Cricetulus griseus: one gene and its partners. The protein of the gene in region 2 purifies or fractionates together with the protein of the main gene of each other region. This does not show direct contact. Links are inferred from orthologs where the notes say so. Each region holds a gene or a part of one and is shown on either strand. Other genes may lie near its edges.

What was found.
Region 1: the proteins of Cxxc1 (region 2) and Wdr82 purify together in Homo sapiens (affinity purification with western blotting; 7 studies listed by BioGRID and IntAct, with this or other methods). This does not show direct contact. The link is inferred for Cricetulus griseus from reciprocal best matches to the Homo sapiens genes CXXC1 and WDR82.
Region 3: the proteins of Cxxc1 (region 2) and Bod1 purify together in Homo sapiens (affinity purification with mass spectrometry; 4 studies listed by BioGRID and IntAct, counting the BioPlex papers as one, with this or other methods). This does not show direct contact. The link is inferred for Cricetulus griseus from reciprocal best matches to the Homo sapiens genes CXXC1 and BOD1.
Region 4: the proteins of Cxxc1 (region 2) and Setd1a purify together in Homo sapiens (affinity purification with western blotting; 16 studies listed by BioGRID and IntAct, counting the BioPlex papers as one, with this or other methods). This does not show direct contact. The link is inferred for Cricetulus griseus from reciprocal best matches to the Homo sapiens genes CXXC1 and SETD1A.
Region 5: the proteins of Cxxc1 (region 2) and Ogt purify together in Homo sapiens (affinity purification with mass spectrometry; 3 studies listed by BioGRID and IntAct, with this or other methods). This does not show direct contact. The link is inferred for Cricetulus griseus from reciprocal best matches to the Homo sapiens genes CXXC1 and OGT.

The regions. Positions count from the first base shown.
Region 1 is NC_048597.1:214,373,370-214,377,385, reverse strand, and holds the start of Wdr82 (WD repeat-containing protein 82), read right to left. Parts: upstream 2,812-4,016; 5' UTR 2,478-2,811; coding exon 2,317-2,477; intron 1-2,316. UniProt on the Homo sapiens protein: Regulatory component of the SET1/COMPASS complex implicated in the tethering of this complex to transcriptional start sites of active genes.
Region 2 is NC_048595.1:165,573,419-165,577,497, forward strand, and holds the start of Cxxc1 (CXXC-type zinc finger protein 1), read right to left. Parts: upstream 2,808-4,079; 5' UTR 2,467-2,807; coding exon 2,464-2,466; intron 1,793-2,463; coding exon 1,674-1,792; intron 1,574-1,673; coding exon 1,473-1,573; intron 1,149-1,472; coding exon 913-1,148; intron 825-912; coding exon 639-824; intron 275-638; coding exon 248-274; intron 171-247; coding exon 1-170. UniProt on the Homo sapiens protein: Transcriptional activator that exhibits a unique DNA binding specificity for CpG unmethylated motifs with a preference for CpGG.
Region 3 is NC_048600.1:46,636,184-46,639,394, reverse strand, and holds the end of Bod1 (biorientation of chromosomes in cell division protein 1), read right to left. Parts: intron 2,259-3,211; coding exon 2,063-2,258; 3' UTR 2,062-2,062; intron 1,194-2,061; 3' UTR 506-1,193; downstream 1-505. UniProt on the Homo sapiens protein: Required for proper chromosome biorientation through the detection or correction of syntelic attachments in mitotic spindles.
Region 4 is NC_048596.1:72,972,902-72,976,416, forward strand, and holds the end of Setd1a (histone-lysine N-methyltransferase SETD1A), read right to left. Parts: coding exon 2,876-3,515; intron 2,501-2,875; coding exon 2,328-2,500; intron 2,252-2,327; coding exon 2,141-2,251; intron 1,981-2,140; coding exon 1,861-1,980; intron 578-1,860; coding exon 440-577; intron 365-439; coding exon 191-364; downstream 1-190. UniProt on the Homo sapiens protein: Histone methyltransferase that catalyzes methyl group transfer from S-adenosyl-L-methionine to the epsilon-amino group of 'Lys-4' of histone H3 (H3K4) via a non-processive mechanism.
Region 5 is NC_048604.1:68,636,422-68,639,936, forward strand, and holds part of Ogt (UDP-N-acetylglucosamine--peptide N-acetylglucosaminyltransferase 110 kDa subunit), read right to left. Parts: coding exon 3,353-3,515; intron 2,573-3,352; coding exon 2,329-2,572; intron 1-2,328. UniProt on the Homo sapiens protein: Catalyzes the transfer of a single N-acetylglucosamine from UDP-GlcNAc to a serine or threonine residue in cytoplasmic and nuclear proteins resulting in their modification with a beta-linked N-acetylglucosamine (O-GlcNAc).

The DNA of each region.
Region 1 (4,016 bases), on a different chromosome or scaffold from region 2:
GATTTGCTGATTTTATTTTATGTATATGAGTGTTTTGCCTGCATCTACATAATATGCACCCTTTACATGGCTATTGCCCATGGAGGCCAGAAGAGAGCATCAGATCTGGAGTTAAATGTAGTTGTGGGCCTCCGGTCGGTTCTGGCACTGAACTGCAAGATTAGCATATGCTCTTAACCCTGGGCCATCTCTCCAGTTCCTAGAAACCTTTTTTAAAACATATTTTCTTCTTAAAACAACTTTTAAAAAATATTTATTTACTTTATTTTTATGTGTATAGGTGTTTGCCTGTGTGTATGTCTACATGTTCCTGGTATCAGGGAAGTCAGAAGTAGGAGTCAGACCCCCTGGAGTTACAGATGGTTGTGAACCTCCATGCTGGTGCTGGGAACTGACCCCAGATCCTCTGTAAGAGCACCAAGTATACTCTTAACCATCTCTCCAGCTCTTATATTTTCTTTTTTGAGACAGGATCTTACTATGTAGTTCAAGCTGCATCCCAACATTCCCACCTCCAGTCTCCTACCCCAGTGCTGGAATTACAGGCACTGCGGAGCAAGAAAGCGCCTTTTTTTTTTTTCTTCAAGAAATTTCTTTGGAACACTGGTAACGTTCTATGAAGTCTGTAATCATGTAAAAAGGTTTTATACATAAATTAGTCTTAGCATTTTATTTCTTTGAATAAGGGATATGCATTTCCACTTCAACTTTTGGGGGGAAGATTCTCATATATGTACTACACTAAATATTTCAAGCAAACCAACTTCAAATTACTTCCAGTTCCCAACTTTAAATCCTACCAGCTCTTCCAAACAAACTCAAATGGTCAGAGCAGGATAAAAACCAACACACTAAAACGAACATCAATTCAAACAACTATCTGTGATTCTCTTTCCCCAGGATCACCACTGTAGGGAACTCTTCCACACACAGCAGGCAGGTCCAGAGACAGTTACATAATACTTTATTATAGTCCCAGTGAGGAAAACAGTCAAGAAAAACATATGCAGCTTAGTCTACAACACAGCCTTACTTTAGATAAATGCAGAGGGACAAGTTCCAAAAGAAAACTGTCTGTTATTTGAAAAATGAAACAAAAGGAACAGATGGAGTAAGTAGAGAAAAAGTTAAGGCTTCAAAAACATAGGTAACTTTAACAAAATGTCAAAAACAGTAGCTATTAAACTAAACCAAACATCTCCTGCTTAGGAAAGGCAGCTGAAGTTGACAAGGGAAATCAAATTTAGCCTACACTAGTTTCTGTTGCAAAGGACTTGGACCTAGAGGGTGAGGCCAGGCAGACAACGTCTCTCCCACCTCAGGCTATGAAAAAGGCAAAGTGATCTGCTCAGCAAAGGCACACAACCATAGCGGTTATCCAACCAACACATAACTCCCATAACCAGATCCAGAGTTTTGTTAATTCCAAGCAAACTACACACTGGCGGTTTTTTTTTTTTTTTTTTTAAAACCCTTTTGAGTCTTGGCCTATGAAGTCCAGAACTCGGAATCTGCCTGCCTCTGTGGCCTAAATGCTGAGATTGGCGGCTGGGCCGCCGCACTCGAGTAAACTTTTTTTTTTTTTTTGTAATGCAAAAGGAAACACTAAATTGTTCCAGAACGCTTTCTTTGTCTTAAAGGGAGCTCACATTCTGACCAGAATGGGGCGGCCAAGTTCGCCCGAGCCTGGCACTGAAAAGTTTCCGAGAGGCTGTTTAACAAGTTAACTGTAAGCGTGGGTATCGGCACAGGGAAAAAGGCAGCAGGCTCACGCACAGGCGCAACCGATAAATCCTGACAGCTGAAAACTGCCTCTCGCGGGGCTGGGTGGCAGAAAGGCCGCGCTGGAAGCCGAGGGGCAGGGGGGACGGGCGCGGTGCCAGGGCTGAATCCAGGTCACCGCGGTGAGGGCAGAGAGCCGACGCCGCTGACGGACGGGCACCACAGCTCCTCCGCTTCTGCGCCGAGCTCAGAGCCGGGGGACCCGCAGCCTCTGACAGGCAGGGGAGCGGGAAGGGCCACCCGCCTGGCCGCCGGGGGCAGGGACGCGGCGTTTAAAGGTCAAGGTCAAGGTGGGGTCTGGAGAGCGGGCGCGCTCGGGAGAGACCAAAGACGCACGCCCGGCACAGCAACGCTAGCGCTGACTAGGACCACCCTGGCTTTACAGAGACAGGAGGGGGCTGCACCACTGCAGGATGGAGGCGGGGTGCACACCACAGGCTGGGGGTGGGGGGTGGGGGCTCAGCCGGGGACGGGCGACACAAGGAAGGGGAGGGAGGCGCTTGGAACCCGGCCCGCGGCCACCGCCACACTCACTTGCCCTCCTGGCAGTCGTAGAGCACGATGGAGTCGTCGTCGCTGCTGGAGATGACCGTCTCCCCGTTGGGGCTGAAGTCGAAGCAGTTGATCTTGTCCGAGTTCTCGCGGAACACCTTGGCGACGCGGAAGCTCCTCAGCACGCTGTCGGTCAGCTTCATGGCGGCGGCGGCGGCGGCGGCTGAAGGCAGCCGCGGCGGCGCAGGGCCGGGGCGGGGCCGAGAGGCGGGCGGGCGAGCGGGCGAGCGAGCGGGCGGGCGGGCTGCTCAGGGCCAACCCCAGCCGTGCGGGCGCCGCGCTGGCGGCTACCGGGGCGGCGTCTGACAGTCGGGTCGCCGCGCCGACCTCCTCGGGCAAGGCCCTCTCGGCGGGATGACGGGAACCTCACTGACCGTTCTTCCCCAGAGTCGCTTCAGGGCCAACCGGCGATGCGCCGGCTCATTGTGTCGGCCATCTTGTAAGGAGAAGCAAAATCAGAGGGCGAGGAGCCTCTGCCGCGGCGGACGCCGGGAAAAGGGGCGGGGCGGGAACTGAGGCGCGCGCTGCGGGGGCGGGGAGATGACGTCAGCGGGGCGGGCTCCCAAGTCGGTGGACCGGGAAGTCGCCGGTCGCTGGTGTGGAGAGGGGAGGCCTGCGGGCGTGGAGCGTCCAGAGGCTTCCTGAGGGCGGGAAAGTTGAGGTCGCCTCGGGACTAGTGCCTTTGTGAGCCGTTCCCCAGGGAGACTCAGGTGCCCCTGAGGCCGCAGGTACTGGCGGAGGTCACCCCTCATGACCTGCTCGTGGGTGTGACTCAGGTGAACCGGTCGCTGCGGGGCTTGACCACCACACCACCAACCCAGGAGGCCTCCATGTGTTAATTTAATGAAGGACAACATATAAAATGTTAAGTGTGTGCCTCTTTCAATTGGGTATATACCATGATCACTGCTCAGGATGTCAGAGCTTTCTTTAAGAACTTTTTCGAGAGTGTCAAAGCGCATGAAGATAGCTAACTTGAATGCGGGAGGAGGGGGAAACCCTAGGAAAGCACTCACTGTGAGACATTTCACTCACTGGCAGCTAAGAGGAAGGTGTGACCAGAATCCCACATATCATGACAATGGTTAACAAAACAAACGAAATGGAAACACTAGAAAAGTTGGAGTCTTCTTGGAAATAACTAGGGGTTGAATTCCACGTCCTCCTGTAAAAAATCGGGGTATCTACGTAGAGAAATTGTTGGCTGGGGGCGGGGAGGGGGGAAGACAAGGCTAAGTCCGGACTGCAGTGGCCACCTGACAAAGCAGAGCACCTGGCTACAATTTGTTCTGAGGTTTGAGGAGTAGGAAAAACCGGTTTGAATGCAACCTGAATGGATGGCAACTTTCCAAACTGCAAATCCAGTCAATTCCCAGTGATTGTTTCTGAGCCTAAAAAGGACGATGCAGTCTGCCATGAAAGCTTGAGATGGTGAGGACAGATCTGGTGTCCTGTTCCGACCTGCTGTGTGAACTGGCCTCCTCTGTAGCACATACGTAGTAAAGATCCTGTGGACTGGCTGACTAGAACTTCGGAATTATGAGATAAAATGCAGCCAAAAGCCAAATGATCATGAACTATTTTAGGCCTCTTTAAAAATGTGTGTGTGGCGGGTGGTGGTGGCGCAATCCTTTAGTCCCAGAACTCCGGAGGCAGAGACATGCGGATCTCTGTGAATTCCA
Region 2 (4,079 bases):
AGTGGCTCGGGTGTTGCTGTAGCCTCTGGCAGCTCCTTACCCACAGATGACAACACTGTCCCCTCATCTTCACGGATACGCCCCAGCTTCTGGGATGGCTGTGGCTGCTGTTGAGTGGGTGGTGGCCGGCGGGGCCTTGGCAGGGCCTCTGAGGGCGTCACCGGCGAGAGCTGCGGGGCAGAATCTCAGGACTGGCCCTGACCGCCCTGCCCGCATGCCCTGCCCCGCCCTGGGGGGCTGGACTCACCGAGGAAGGGAAGTACTTGTACGATTCCTGTGCGCAGGAGGAAGGCCTAGGTCAGCCCCAGGAAAATGATGGGTCACCCTGTCCTATCCCCAACTACTCATCCTTGCCTGGTCTACACAAAATGTTTTAGCCCTCCCCTCACCTCAGACATACGCTCAGTCCTACCTGTTGTGCCCTGGCATGCCTGACCACCTAAAAATATATGCCCCTGCCAGCTAGTTATGTCATGTGGCATTCACCTGAACATGCTAGGCCCCCTCCCACTCATCTGGACATAATGAGGCCCCACCCCACCCCACCCACACTTTCTCATTTGTAGCTCAAGCAGCCCTACTTGGGCCTCCCAGCCATGCTCTCCCACCTGAACCTACCCAGCTCTGTCCATGCTTACCCGTGCCCGCAGCTGACACTGGCGAAGCCGGCACTTCTGCCGGATCTTGTTGGGCCCCCCGAACTTCTTCATGTCACGGCAGAAATCACAGTGGCCACAGTCCTCAGTGCGCCGGCATGCCTCACACTCACCACACATTCGGGCTGACCGTTTGATTTGTTGCTGTTGCTGCTGCTGCTGGTGATGCTAGGAGTCAATGCGCAGGATAGACATCAGGAACCCAAATGGGGCCCAGAGCAGAATTTTACCCACCCCAACCACCGCAGTCACTCACCTGGCTAGGTGTAGCCACTAAGGGCTGTGGAGAAGATTTGTGGGGCGAAGCTGAGCCCCGAGCAAGCATGGTCCCAACCCCTGTCCCTGACCCTGCCCGGCGCTGCAGGTCTGGATCTGAAGCAGGCCTCTTGCGCCCTCCTCCCTCATCCCGGGGCTCACTGCCGTCCCGCTCACTGCCATCCCGTTCCCGGGATTTTTTGTGTCGGTAACGAATCTCCAGCTTCGGGTCCTTCTCTATGAGGCAAAGAGTAAGACCAAAGTGGGTTTGTGTGTGTGTGTGTGTGTGTGTGTGTGTGGCGGGTGGGGGGGGGATATGAATGATCCCAAAACCTCTTTCTCTGTTCCCACCCCAACTACTTCTCTGGCTCATGTTATAGGCGAGAGCTGCCCTCTCCCTTTAGGATCCTCCATTATTGCTCACAATGGAGTTGGTATTCCAATACCCCAAGGACCGACAATCACTCTGTCCACAGAGGACACCTCGATTACCCATGAGCCCTCCCATTACGGTTCCTCTTCATCTCTTGGAGCCCACCTGCCTTCCCCACTGGGCCTCACCTCGGCAATCCCGACAGTACCATTCCCGGATGGCTTTGGCCATCTTCTCAGTGATCCTGATGCAGTCCCCATGGAACCACTCATTGCAGTTGTCACATCCACTGCATATAATGGAGCAAGTGGTAGAGACGTGAGGGGTGGGCTTCATCGGTGCTCCCCAACCCCGCCAGGCATCAGCCCACCCACCTCTCCCCAGCTCACATCATGAAGCAGTTGATGTCTGGTTTTCGGCAGATGCAGTAGATGGGAGCATTCTCCCCATTCTCAGACTTGCTGTCCTCTCCAGCATCTGGAGGCTCCAAGTCTGAACCGTCTCCATCCTGTGAGACCCACCCCCAATGATGACTCCTTAATTCCCGCTTACAGCTCGACCACGGCTCAACACAAGTTCCTACTGTGTCTTTGGACTTCCTCCCTCTCATAGATTCCCATCAGCCTCTCCCTCACAGATCGCCCAGACCCTCATCACTCAACCCTGGGCCTCATTACTTTGCTTATACTGCTCTCCCATCACACACATCACTGACAAGCATCCTGTCACTCTTAACTGCTCATCACAAACACTTACCACATTGCCGCCTTCAAGAGTTCTACCCGGATATCTCTTAATTTGTTGGGCTGTCGTCCCATCCCGGCTTCCCACAAGTCTCTATAACTTAGCTCACAGACCCCCAACCCCAATGACGGTTTTTCAGAGCCCCTGTAAATACTCATGGCCAAGACCTTATCTCTCTGACCAAGGATCCTCACGTGAAGGCTTCCCACAAAACTGCCACCTGCAGTCTCTACTTAAGTCCCACTATGGACCCCCTACAACGGTTCATCAAAGAACTCACAGATGGTTCACTTCAAACCCCATCACACACCTTTTCCCATCGGCCCCCAGACTCGGCATCCACCTCACCAGAAGCCCCGTGCGCCTTGCCAACAGGCAGCAGTTGCCAACCCCACCGACCTCTGCCTCGGAACCGCGATCCAACCGGATACTCACCATATCTCCTCTCACAGCGCACCCGCTCTGGACCCCCGGCAGCACCCAGCGAACCTGAACGAGCCCCTAGGCAGCGTCCGCGGCGGTGGCAAAAGCGCCCACAACCACTTCCGCTCCTGGTCCCGCCTCCACGGCACCGCACTCTGAGTCTTCTCGCCCAGAACGACCGCTCAGCAGCAGACAAATAGGTCGCCCAACTACAGCCGCGAATGTCGCCCAGGCGCCGCCATCTTAACCATGGAATCCGTAAGGTAGCGAACACCGTACGTTCCGGGAGATATGGCCGCGCCTATCTGCAGGTCCTCGGAGCGCGCCGCCACCTTATCAGTCAAAGTCCGTACGGTGGCCGCCAGAGGGCAATATGGCCGCGCTTGCTTCGCAACTGCGACGCAGACGTCATCAGCTGTTTACGCCTCATGGGGCAGACTCCGTACGTTTCTAGGCAACGAATGGCAGCTTCCGGTTCACGGCTGTCAAAGGGCGTGGCCATCACCATAGTTGACTGTACACTGAGTGCTGCTGCCACGGGCAGGATAATCCTGTTACTGCCTAAATCATGTCTCATTCATTCCTCCATCCAGTCATTTTACCCTTCCACGTTTATAAATGGGATGCCAAGGCTCCGCAAAAGAAATAAATATCGTGTTGTAACTGCCCAGTTGTTTACCCACTTTTTACGCGCCTCGTCCCTCCTGTTTTTCAGCCAGATCTGGCTTCATTTTCCTTTTGTTTGTTTTATTTTATTTTATTTTATTTTATTTTTGAGACAGGGTCCCTCTAGCCCTGACGGTCCTTAACTCGCTGTGTAGACCAGGCTCGCCTTGAACTCAAGCTAACCATCTGCCTTTGCCTTTCAAGTGCTAGAATTAAAATAGTGCATATATATATATATATATATATATATATATATATATATATATATATATGTTTTAAAACTTCGTAGTGGCACACGCTGGTAATCCCAGCAGAAGTGGGAGGATGGATGAGGTTAGGAAATGCAAATTCACATCCTACCTGGACTACAATGTGAGTTCAAGGCCAACTTGGGTAATTTTGAGACTTTGTCTCAAGAAGAAAATAAGAAAGACATGCAGCCGGGCGTTGGTGGCGCACGCCTTTATCCCAGCACTTGGGAGGCAGAAGCAGGTGGATCTCCGTTCAAGGCCAGCCTGGTCTACAGAGTGAGTTCCAGGACAGGCTCCAAAACTACAGAGAAACCCTGTCTCGAAAAACCAAAGGAAAAAAAGAGAGAGAAAGAAAGAAAGACATGGAAGGAAGGGAAATGGAGAAGAAACAATGAAAGAAAACAGAAAAGTAAGGAAAAGAAATAGGTGTATACTCCTTAAGAAGCCAGTACTATTAAAATTTTAATTATATAGCTCTAGAAGTGAAAACTGGTTGCCAGGTATAGTAATATATTAGTAATCCTCAAGTAAAAGTGTACAGTATTGTCCTAGTATTGCAAAAAGTGCCCTAGTAAAGCAACAAATAATTAAAAGAATTATTAGAGCCAGTGAAATGGCTCAGCCTGTCAACCTGAGTTTGATTTCTAAAACTCATACTGACTGCCAGAGCTGTTTTTTTTTTCTCACTACACACACACACACACACACACC
Region 3 (3,211 bases), on a different chromosome or scaffold from region 2:
TGTACTCAACTAAGAACAAGGACTTTTAGTTTGAAGCAATCTTTGCTATACCCAAGGCTCAGAATCATCCAGGAGCTTGTGAGATACAAACTTTTGGGCCAATGAATAAAGGTGTTTGCCACCAAGCCCCATCACCTGAATTCAATCATTGGGACACAGGTGGCAGAAAGAGAACCTTTATCTGCAAGTTGTCTTCTGACCACACATGCAACCTATCCCCTTCTCACCTGACCCCACCCCAGGCCAATAACACCTAGCTCTCCCACCCTGTCCTGAGACACTCAGGGGCACTGGTATTTACTCATCCAAGCTTGAGATGAGTCAGAACATTCAACAAGACACTGCCTGGCCCTGACCAGCTGCATCAGCCAGCCTGAACCAGGGTGCTTCTAAGTTCCAACCAGCAATCCTCCATTCCCACCAATCACAGGTTGTCTGGAGATAGCAGGCAGATAGAGGAAGTAAGTCACCTCCACAGACAGAGGCGCTAAGATTCTGTTGGGGCTTTAGGGAAAGATCATCAAATGACTTTATTGTAAAACATCTGCTATTTATTAACGGTTGTTCTTCTAAAAACAAACATGAGAACTGAGCACCACATCCAGAGTGACTCGCTTGCCCCTGCGGCTAGTGAGACGCTAGGACAGAGACAGTGGGGCTTTCCTTGTCCCCAAGTCTCAACTTAACTCACTCACTCCAGGGCTCCAAGCTACCTCTGACAAGAGAAAGAAAACCACTAAAATCTCCAAGCACAAGGAGGTCACAACAACCTTAGGGCTACTGACGCTAACTGCTGCGCATTCCAGCCTGTAACTCTAGCAACAATATCAGCTGCTCCCATTGCCCTTTGCTGTCCTGACCGGCTTGCTGCAGCCTGGCTTCTGCATACTGCAGAGCACAAGCGCTAACATCCACATGCAGGGTCTGTGTTCAAGTGTAGAGGTTTGTTCAGGATAGCCCAGGTCATGTAGTGCTTAAACCTCTGTAGTGTCTACTGTGGTCAGACCCTCGGACAGGCTGGTCAAAGGTGGCACAATGCATGAGCTTTCCATAGAATGTGTACACCACCCCAGTCAAGGCCAAAATCTTGACATCAGTATAGTGACATGGTCGACTCAAGTTATATTCATATGAATCAGGAATCCATTTCGTTTCTTCATTAAATGGAGTTTTCCAAAGGTATCAGGCATATTCTTAAAAAAAAAAAAGAAAAAGAAAATGTCAAAACGCTACTTTTGATAAGGGCTTATATTCACTAATTATATATTCCTAAAAGAATTAAAGATTTAACATAAATAAATATTTTACACTCCAGGATGAATCAAGAATCTCTCCTGGGCTGCAGAGATGGCTCAGCCGTTAAAGGCTAGGCTCACAACCAAAGTATAAGAATCTCTCCCAAGAGGCACAGCACAACCCGCAATTGCTCAAGTTCAAAGGCCTAGATCACCTGCCTCCCTACCCAATTTATTAGTATCAATATCTCAAAGACTTACTAGCAGCACAAGGGACTAGAACACCCCAGGGGTGTGATGATGGCAGGTGAGGGATCTATTGGTCATACGGTGGCTCCCCAAACCCGGCACAGCATCCACCTCTATATCTCCAGCTATTTTTAAAGTTTAGATAAAATCCTAAACCTGGGACAAAGAGAACAGAGAGCTGCATGGCTCTCCACAGGGGCAACTTGGAAACGCAGAGCCCATGCAAAGTTCTCACTTGAGACAGCATTTGGGATTGCTGCTTGATTTCATATAAAAAAAATCACAAATGTCAGCCAGGGGAGAGCCACAGGTAAGCAATCTCAGAGATGACCTCCACAAATCCCCTGTGTAAACCAGTTGCCACAGTGGTTCCTGATGAGGTTTCCTGTGATGACTTGGATGCTCGGCTCCACTGGTGCAGAGCACAGTTGCCAATATGGGAGCAGCTAGAGCTGAATTCACTGAGGATGGCTCCCTGGGGTGAACTCCACTCCCACGTGTAAAACATGATGTCTAATCACAGCTTACCCCGTTTCTAACCATCAACTAGCCAGAGAGGAAAGATGGGGTACTAAACCTTAAGAAGTGTCTTGGGATGGCGCTGGAGGATCCTGGCTTTCAGGTTCTGGAGGGGGAGCTGGCATAGCTTCTTTTTTCTGGGCTGCCAGGAACTCGTGGATTGCTCGCTCTATCTGTGGCCTGAAGATGTGATTTAGTTTGGGGTCCACCACCTGAGAAATGATCCTGTCTACTCCTGCTTCCAACATGCCTGACCTGTGGAGATAAGACAAACTACTGTTATTTAGTTCTCAAGAGTTCCCCATTGCATAAATAAGCCCCAAGGGCCATTCAAGAGCCCAGCAAATATCCATTTTCCCCATTTAGGCCACTGGCCTTTCATTTGAGCAGTTCACAGCCACCTGCTACCCACCATTCCTAATGCAGTTTCAACTCTTTAGAAAGGAAACAAAGTTATGCAGACTGCACCAAAGGCCAACAACACATGTGACAAATGGCAAGAGCCTGGCCACAGGTGTAGGGTGAAACTGCAGTCACAGTGACAAAGGCAGCAAGTCTTGTTATGCCTTAGTTTTCCTCAGCATTTATTCTTAGCAGCCAGAACAGAAGTGGCTTCCAACAGCAACTCGGTTACTACATCCAATACAAACCAGATGAGATGTTTGTGATGACTGGTGAGACACATAAAGACTGGGCATGCAATGTGTAGTTGCTCAATAAAGGACAGCTACTGGCCCCTTCTTTCTGAGACCTCTACACTAACAGAGCTCACCTTGAGAAAGGGAGCAGTACTGTGCAGCTTGAGAGAGACAATGTGGGCAGCTTTAGATGCCACACTCACCTAGGGCAAACAGAGCTTTACGTGGGTGTTAATATTCTTCATTTACAAAAGATTTCAGTGGTCATAAGCCACAGCGAGTGCTATCGCACTAGCCAGCAAAATCCTTTTCTATTTTTAATCTCAATCTCTCCCCCCTCCCCCAGGAACTCACTACATAACCAAGGCTACTTGATTCTCCTAATCTTCCTGCCTCAGCCTCCTGAGGGCTGGGATGACAGGAGTGTAACAGGTATCCCATTTGACTGAACTCAACAACTGAATCTTAAACAACTTATTCAGTGCCACAAAGGTGAAGGCCACATAATCTCAACACCTTCTACCAGCTCCTGCCACGTCAACTCACAGGGGATCAACTTCTACCATAGGA
Region 4 (3,515 bases), on a different chromosome or scaffold from region 2:
GGCGTGGGGTACAGGGGAGTCAAAAGTTACCTCAAAGGACTGAGGCTCCCTTGCTGGGCTCAGGGCCCCTATCCCACATGTGGAGATGGGGACATGTGGGCCCTGCTGAGCCCACTAAGGCTGGGGGTGCTGGGAGCTTAGGGCACCAAGGGGGAATAAATAGGGGTGAGGGCACCAGTCCTGCCCCACCTCAGTTGAGGGAGCCACGGCAGCTTTCAGTGCCACACAGACACGGGATCTTGTTGTCCTCGAGTGGGAACTTGTAGTCGTAGGTGATCTCCTCATCCACGCCAATGGGCTGCTTGGAGTAGATCACAATCTTCTTCTGAGACTCGATGGTGATCACCTTAGCGTAGCAGTTGGGCTGCAGGAGGGGCAGTGTAAGCCGCAGCCCCCCTCACCCCTGCCCCGCCCAGCCCTGGCCCAGCCCTGAGCGCACCGTGCAGCAGTGGTTGATGAACCTGGCCAGGTTGCCGCACTTTGTGGCATCAATGATGGTATCGTGGTCCACCCGGAAAAGGTAGCTGCTGCCAATGCCCTCCTGAACGTAGCGCTTCTCCCGCATGTCAGCTACCATCTGGGAGGAGGATGAGATGAACACATGCATGGACTTCAGCCACTGCACGAGCTAGCTGACCAAGCCAACAGCTCCTGGGCCATGCTGACTGGATATGCCCTGGGTCTACCTGCTTCCACCCAATCTGATCCAAAGTCAGTCACACAAGGACTCTCTGCTGAGAACCTGTGTGGCCACAGTGGAGCTCACAGTATACTGTGGGCCTGCAGCGGCTTCTGATGTGACAGTGGCCATGCCTTCAACTGAATCCTTTCCTAGGACTATCCTTCCCAGACACCTACTGGGCAGCTGGTGAGAGCAGATGGCAGATGGTCTGTGCCAGGACAAAGGCCTTTCAGCAAGGGGCAACTATTCCCAAGAAATAGGCAATGCATTTGCCACTCTCACTGAGTGACCTTACCCCTTTGCAGAATTCTAACCACCAGCTCTAAGTGAGGACTCCTCCCAGGCTTCCACCTCCAGCCAAGCCCACCTCAGTAGGACTGTGGGATGCCACCCCTACAACCCTAGGACCCCAAGCTCACATCTGCACTGAGACAAACCTTGACTGCATTTGTGTTCCTTCTGCTGCTCCCAACCACATTCCTCAAAGCTACTGGGGATGCCCCGAGGAAGGCCTTGACACCTTATTTTCATCCTCTACAGCCAACTACCTGGTTCTGTCAACCACTTTGGACCCACAGGCTAGAGTCCTGTCACCCCTGTTGCCACTACCTCATCCATACTTTGGCTCTGACCTGCCATTAAGCACCACTGAGGCCAGTCCACACAAGCTCTTTTCTACACAGCCAGAGGGAGCTTATTAGCTTCTCAAGTCCTTGTTTGCACAACTTCCAGAACATTCCCCATCCACCCACAAGGCTACACTTGACTGACAGGGTTCCAGCTCTGAGGAGTTGGCTCCACTTGCATGTCCAGGTTCACATCCCTGTCACTGGCTCTGAACAGATGCATTGGCCTCATCCTCCGAAGAGGACAGCTTCTGAGCCTTTGCAAATTCTGTCTTCAGAACTGGAGCATATATATCCTGATGCCCCAGGAGTTCATTACCCTTTAGCTTGCAGGTCTTTGGGAGGTTCTGGGTCCCCACAACACCTACAACCCTTTAGTATCAACACCACTCTTTACTATCATTATTGTCCAGTGTTCCTGGCTGGACCACTAACATCAAAGCTGGGCAGCGGCAGCGGCAGTAATGAGTGAGATTTTGTACAAAAGATTAGATGGTGAAATCCCATGCTGCTGTAGTCAGCGACTGGGCTGGTGCTGGAGTGGAACCTTACCTGGCGGATGTTCTGGCCAACATATTCTATCACCATCTCATCAGCTGCGATGGGTTCCATGGCAAACAGACCCCACTCATGGATTCGGCTCCGGCCAAATCGGAGTTTCTTCTTCCGGAACTAGGGGACAAAAGGTAGCTTTAACTGCTGATGTTCTCACAAACCTGCACCTTCCCTTTCCTTCCGCCTTCCCGTCCCACAGGATCCCGCCAGGGGCAATCTCCTTGCTGTGGTTTTTTTTCCACTGGGTCTCCTCCCTCCTCCAGTTTCCCCTCCTGACCTTGAGCTGGTTTAGCTTTAGCAGATCACTATCCATGATGGCTGAGGTGCCAATGGCGCTCAGTAACCGCCGCTGCTCTGATCGTCGCTCAGAAAGTACCCGATTAGTCCCCTGTGAGCAAGACAGGTGATGAGTGCTTAAAGGACAGGAAGGAGGCAGCAAGCTAGGGCTTGGGGCAGGACTCTACCTGAGTGTCCACGCCTTCCAGCTGTCGGGCTGAGACAGGGCACACATCCAGGTACTTGTCCTTCTCCTTCTTGCTGATGGGGTAGTAACCTTCACTGCGTGCAGAGCCTGTCTGATGCTCCCGGGGCCCATCTTGGGGCCGTCGCTTACGCTTTGGAGTGCTTAGGTTGGTGAGTGCAGGGTGTTAAGGAAGAGAACAGGTTCCCTACTGGCCAGTCCCTTAGGGCTCACACCTCCTGTGCACCCCAGACCCAGCCTACAGGGTAGCTGGTCTGATAGTGAGAATACTCAGGAGACAGACAGGAGAAGGCAAGTCTAGATCTTACCTGTTCAGTCAGAGGAGACACAAGGCAGAGGGAAAAGACAGCTGGCAACTAGAGAACCCCAAAGCTAATCAAGGCACAGTAAATTAGACAGACAGGAGATCACTGCAGCTGTAGGACTGACCTGAGGATGACATTTCTGGCCATATGACCCCAGGGAATGCTGACCCCATCCCAGCCCTGTGTCTTGCTCTAGGGTACAAGCAAGCTCTGTGGCTCAGGATATTTGTGTGATGGACCCAGTGAGTATCATTAAGCCAGTCAGCCCCACTGGTCTGCTGCAATAGCCGCTCATACGTGAGCCGCAAATAGCTCATGTCTTCCAAGTCCAGGCCTGAGTTCCAAATGTCATATAGGATGGTCATCTGCTCAAATTCACTCCTTGGCTCAAAAGAAGGAGGTGGTGGGGGTGGGGGTGGGAGTGGTGGCCGTCTTCGTCGAGTGTGGGAGCGGAGGCTGCGCCTCCTGATAGCCCCTTCCTCATCACTGCTGCTGCTGCTGCTGCTGCTTTCTGAAGACCCCTCTTCTTCCTCCTCCTCCTCCTCCTCCTCCTCCCTCTTCTGCTCCGGATGCTGCTGCTGCTGCTGCAGCTGTTGCTTTGGCTCCTCTGCTTCAGCCACCACCACCTCAGGGGCCTCCAAGACTTCATCAGCTGGGGAGCTGAAGAGTGCAGCAAGGGCAGGAGCTGGCTCTAGGGGCCGAGGTGCTGGTGTGGCAGGTGGGGGCTTAATGGCCAGGGCATAATTGTGTTCCAAGAGGATGTGGCTGAGTAGAGGGCTTGGGCGCTCAGCCTCATCTGAGGTCTCGGTGGCCTCTGAGTCGTCTCCAGTGGGTAGGGTAGCCAACCCCCGTCGGGCTGGAGTCAG
Region 5 (3,515 bases), on a different chromosome or scaffold from region 2:
AGGTCCAATGTCAAAATAAATTAACAGAGTAAAGTTAACCAAGATTACAAACTATGCAAGAGAGCCAAGCTGAGTTTACACAGTCAACAAGTAAAGGATAAACCTAGCCCTGATTACTGAAGGAAAACAATGCCCTATCCTGGGCCTTAGGAAGAATCCAGTCCAAGCCCTACAGACAGCCCATTCAAGGTTAGCTGCCAAAAACTATTTAGTAACTACATAGGACTGCAATAAAAATTACAAATGCACTCTAACTTCAAATATACACTGAGTACCCCTGAAAAAATATGTTAAAAATTACTTTCATTATCTGCAAGCCTATGCAATTTCTCACTAGATTAAAAACAAAGTGAATAAAATCATTTATTGTAATGAACTCACAAACAAAGACAACATGTAGCAGTCGGGCATTGGTGGTGAACGCCTTTAATCCCAGCACTCAGGAAGCAGAGGCAAGAGGATCTCTATGAGTTTAAGACTAGCCTGGTCTACAGAGCAAGTTCCAAGAAAGGCTCCAAAACAATACAGAGAAACCCTGTCTCGAAAAACCAAAAAAGAAAAAAAAAAAAAAAAAAAGGAAAACAAAAACAACATGTAGCTAAACTAAGGTAGTCATTCTAATGAACAACAAAAACAACATGTAGCTAAACTAAGGTAGTCATTCTAATGAACAACAAAAACAACATGTAGCTAAACTAAGATAGTCATTCTAATGAACAACTGGCCCAGACCCAAACTCTATACATCTAAATGAACAGTTAAAACAGCCATTCCATACATCGATTTTTTTTTATTTTTAAAAAATAAAAGCAAAAAAAATTTTTTTAATAAAGTAAAATAAAAAATAAATTAAAAAATAAATAAATAAAAGCAATAGAAATTTTTAAATTTTCAAAATTAACTTTTAAATTAATTATTTAAAAGACATTAAGATAAAAAATGATTACAAATCTTTGGCAAACTACTAAAATAAGCTTCAGTTTGCTAAATTGTAAGGCTGGAGTCAAGAGCCAGGCAGATATGCAGAATGGTTTCCAGGCTGTGCACAAGGACTGCCTTTGGGCACAGAAGGCCTTTTTAAACTTTCATTTCTTGTTCATGTCAACATTTGCTTTGATAATTCAACTTCAACTTTCAACCTCCACTTCACCACTGCTAGCTACATGATCTCAAGAAAAGTTATATAACCCCGAGTCTGGTGGGTTTTTATTATTGGTAAAACTGGAAATAATGCCCTCCTCCTCAAAGGATCATGGTAAAGATTCAGAAAGACTTGTATCTGAAGCAGCAGTGTCTGAACTTGTAGAAGACTTCTGATAATGGCAGCCACCCCAGTTAATCATTAAGCACTTACTTCCAGGGTGGTTGCAAAGTCAATGTTGATATAGCTCAAGTATATGCTGATGCTGCCAAGACCCACCCCCCCAACATTTATCTCTTAAAAGTTTACAGACACTTTCCCTTAATTACATCAGCAGTTTCCAGGGCAAGTTTTACATCCCTGCATTTTATTTAATTTTTTTTTTGTTTCACACTCTATATTTTGATCTTTCCCAGACTCTAAATACAGTGTGAGCTTTGTCTGTCAACCCGGGTACACTTGCTCCCTGAAAACACATGCAACTTAGAACCCCTGCCCACTTATGCTCTTTCCCCATGTTCCCTGGGGCAGACCGGACTTTTCCTGCCCCCCCTCTTTTCATCTGTCCCCTCTCTCTGTGTCTCTACCTCTTTTCTCTTTCCTTGTCCCATCTCCACTTTCCCTTTCTAATAAAATTTCTCACTTAAATTCTGTCTGCCTGGCATGTTGGTCCCTGACTCGATCACCCTTGCCTGCCATCGAATCTGCCAAGGTCCCCCTCATGTTTTATAACACATTTTACCCATCATTCTTTGTAAATACCCATCAGATTTTAACCAAAGTTCACTAAAATAGCACAAAAAACGCGTGTCTTGTGATTTATTAGGATTACCAAAAGAATTTTGTTGAGGATAATTTTTATGGTTTTTCAAGACAGGATTTCTCTGTGTAACAGTCCTGGCTGTTCTGAAATTCATTCTGTAAATCAGGCTGCCCTTGAACTCACAGAGATGTGCCTGCCTCTGCTGGGATTAAAGGCAACTTGCTATTTAACTTTTTAAATATTAGGGTGGATCTTTTTTAATGTCATGCAGACCAAGTCAAATCAATTTCATCATTTCAAGTACATAAACATATTAAACATATCAACCCGACTTTCATGAAAAAAAAAAAACCTACTGTCAAGTATCAAATGTTGGTTTTCTGGATTGCTGTGAAGTGAAAACAACTGATAAACTTTTACTTACAGGATTGTACTGAAGAGCAGAGACGTAAGCTTGTACTGCTCCTTCCATGTCACCTGCTGCTACCAAAGCTGCTGCCAGGTTAATATAACCATCAATGAAATCAGGCTTGAGCCGCAAGGCATGTCGATAATGCTCAATCGCTTCCTGCAACTGCCCTCTTTCCTTGTACACATTCCCCAAATTCGAATAGGCTTCTGCTAGAAGGGGATTCTGTTTAATTGCCAAGGTGCTAAAGTGAGCAGATCTGGAAAAGTGGAAAGTGTTGATGAATGGATATATGTGTTAGAAAAAAAAGAGGCATAGCTCATATGCAACTGTGAAAGTTCCTGAAAACCCTGTGCTATGGAACATTATCCTTTAACCAGCACACACCAGAAGTTTGAAAACTTAAAACTTTTCTAAGATGAGAATATCCAGATTTCATATAGGAAAGCTGGGTCTTATGTAAGAAAATTTTTATTAGAATCCATTACCAAACTGCCACATCGTATAACATGATCATTAAGATCAAGAATAAAAATGCTATGTGCTTGAATCTCATTTTTCATTTAAGATTTAATGACAATGCATCTTCAATGTCTAAGCATGCCAAAATGATAATTTACTAAAAGATCCAAAGCACAAATTCTTCTCTTTTGATTAATTCAAGTGATTAGCTAAAAGCAACAATTTAATGAGGGTATTTCCAACTTGAACTACATATGCCCCTCCTACCAGACGCTCTGAAGCTAACAGGTCTGGATGTTCAAATGTACACTAAGAATAACTATCTGGAAAGAATTAATAAAGCAGCAGCCCCAAGTGATAAAATCTAGGGGGAAAACCTCATCATACTGATAATATGCTTCCCCCCCCAAAAAAAAACGGGGGAGAAAAACTAGCAGCTAGGCATGTCAAAAGTGAGCAAAAGAGCGCCTGTGTGTTGGTGGCTCAGATGAAACCAAGCACTGGAAATGCTTAAGTTCAAATATTTATCATTTTTTAAGCTCAGCACCCAGAGGCAGGTTACCCCAACATCTCCTACCTGTCCAGCCTTCGACACTGGAAATGTATAGATGAAAGTAATAAAAGGACACCAGTATTGTCAGGCTCTTGTCTCCAGAGCTGCATGCAGTGTCTCTCAGCTGCCTCAAAATCTCCTGCCTGATATTCTCGATGTGCCAACTCAGCTAACCCTTGGAAGGAAA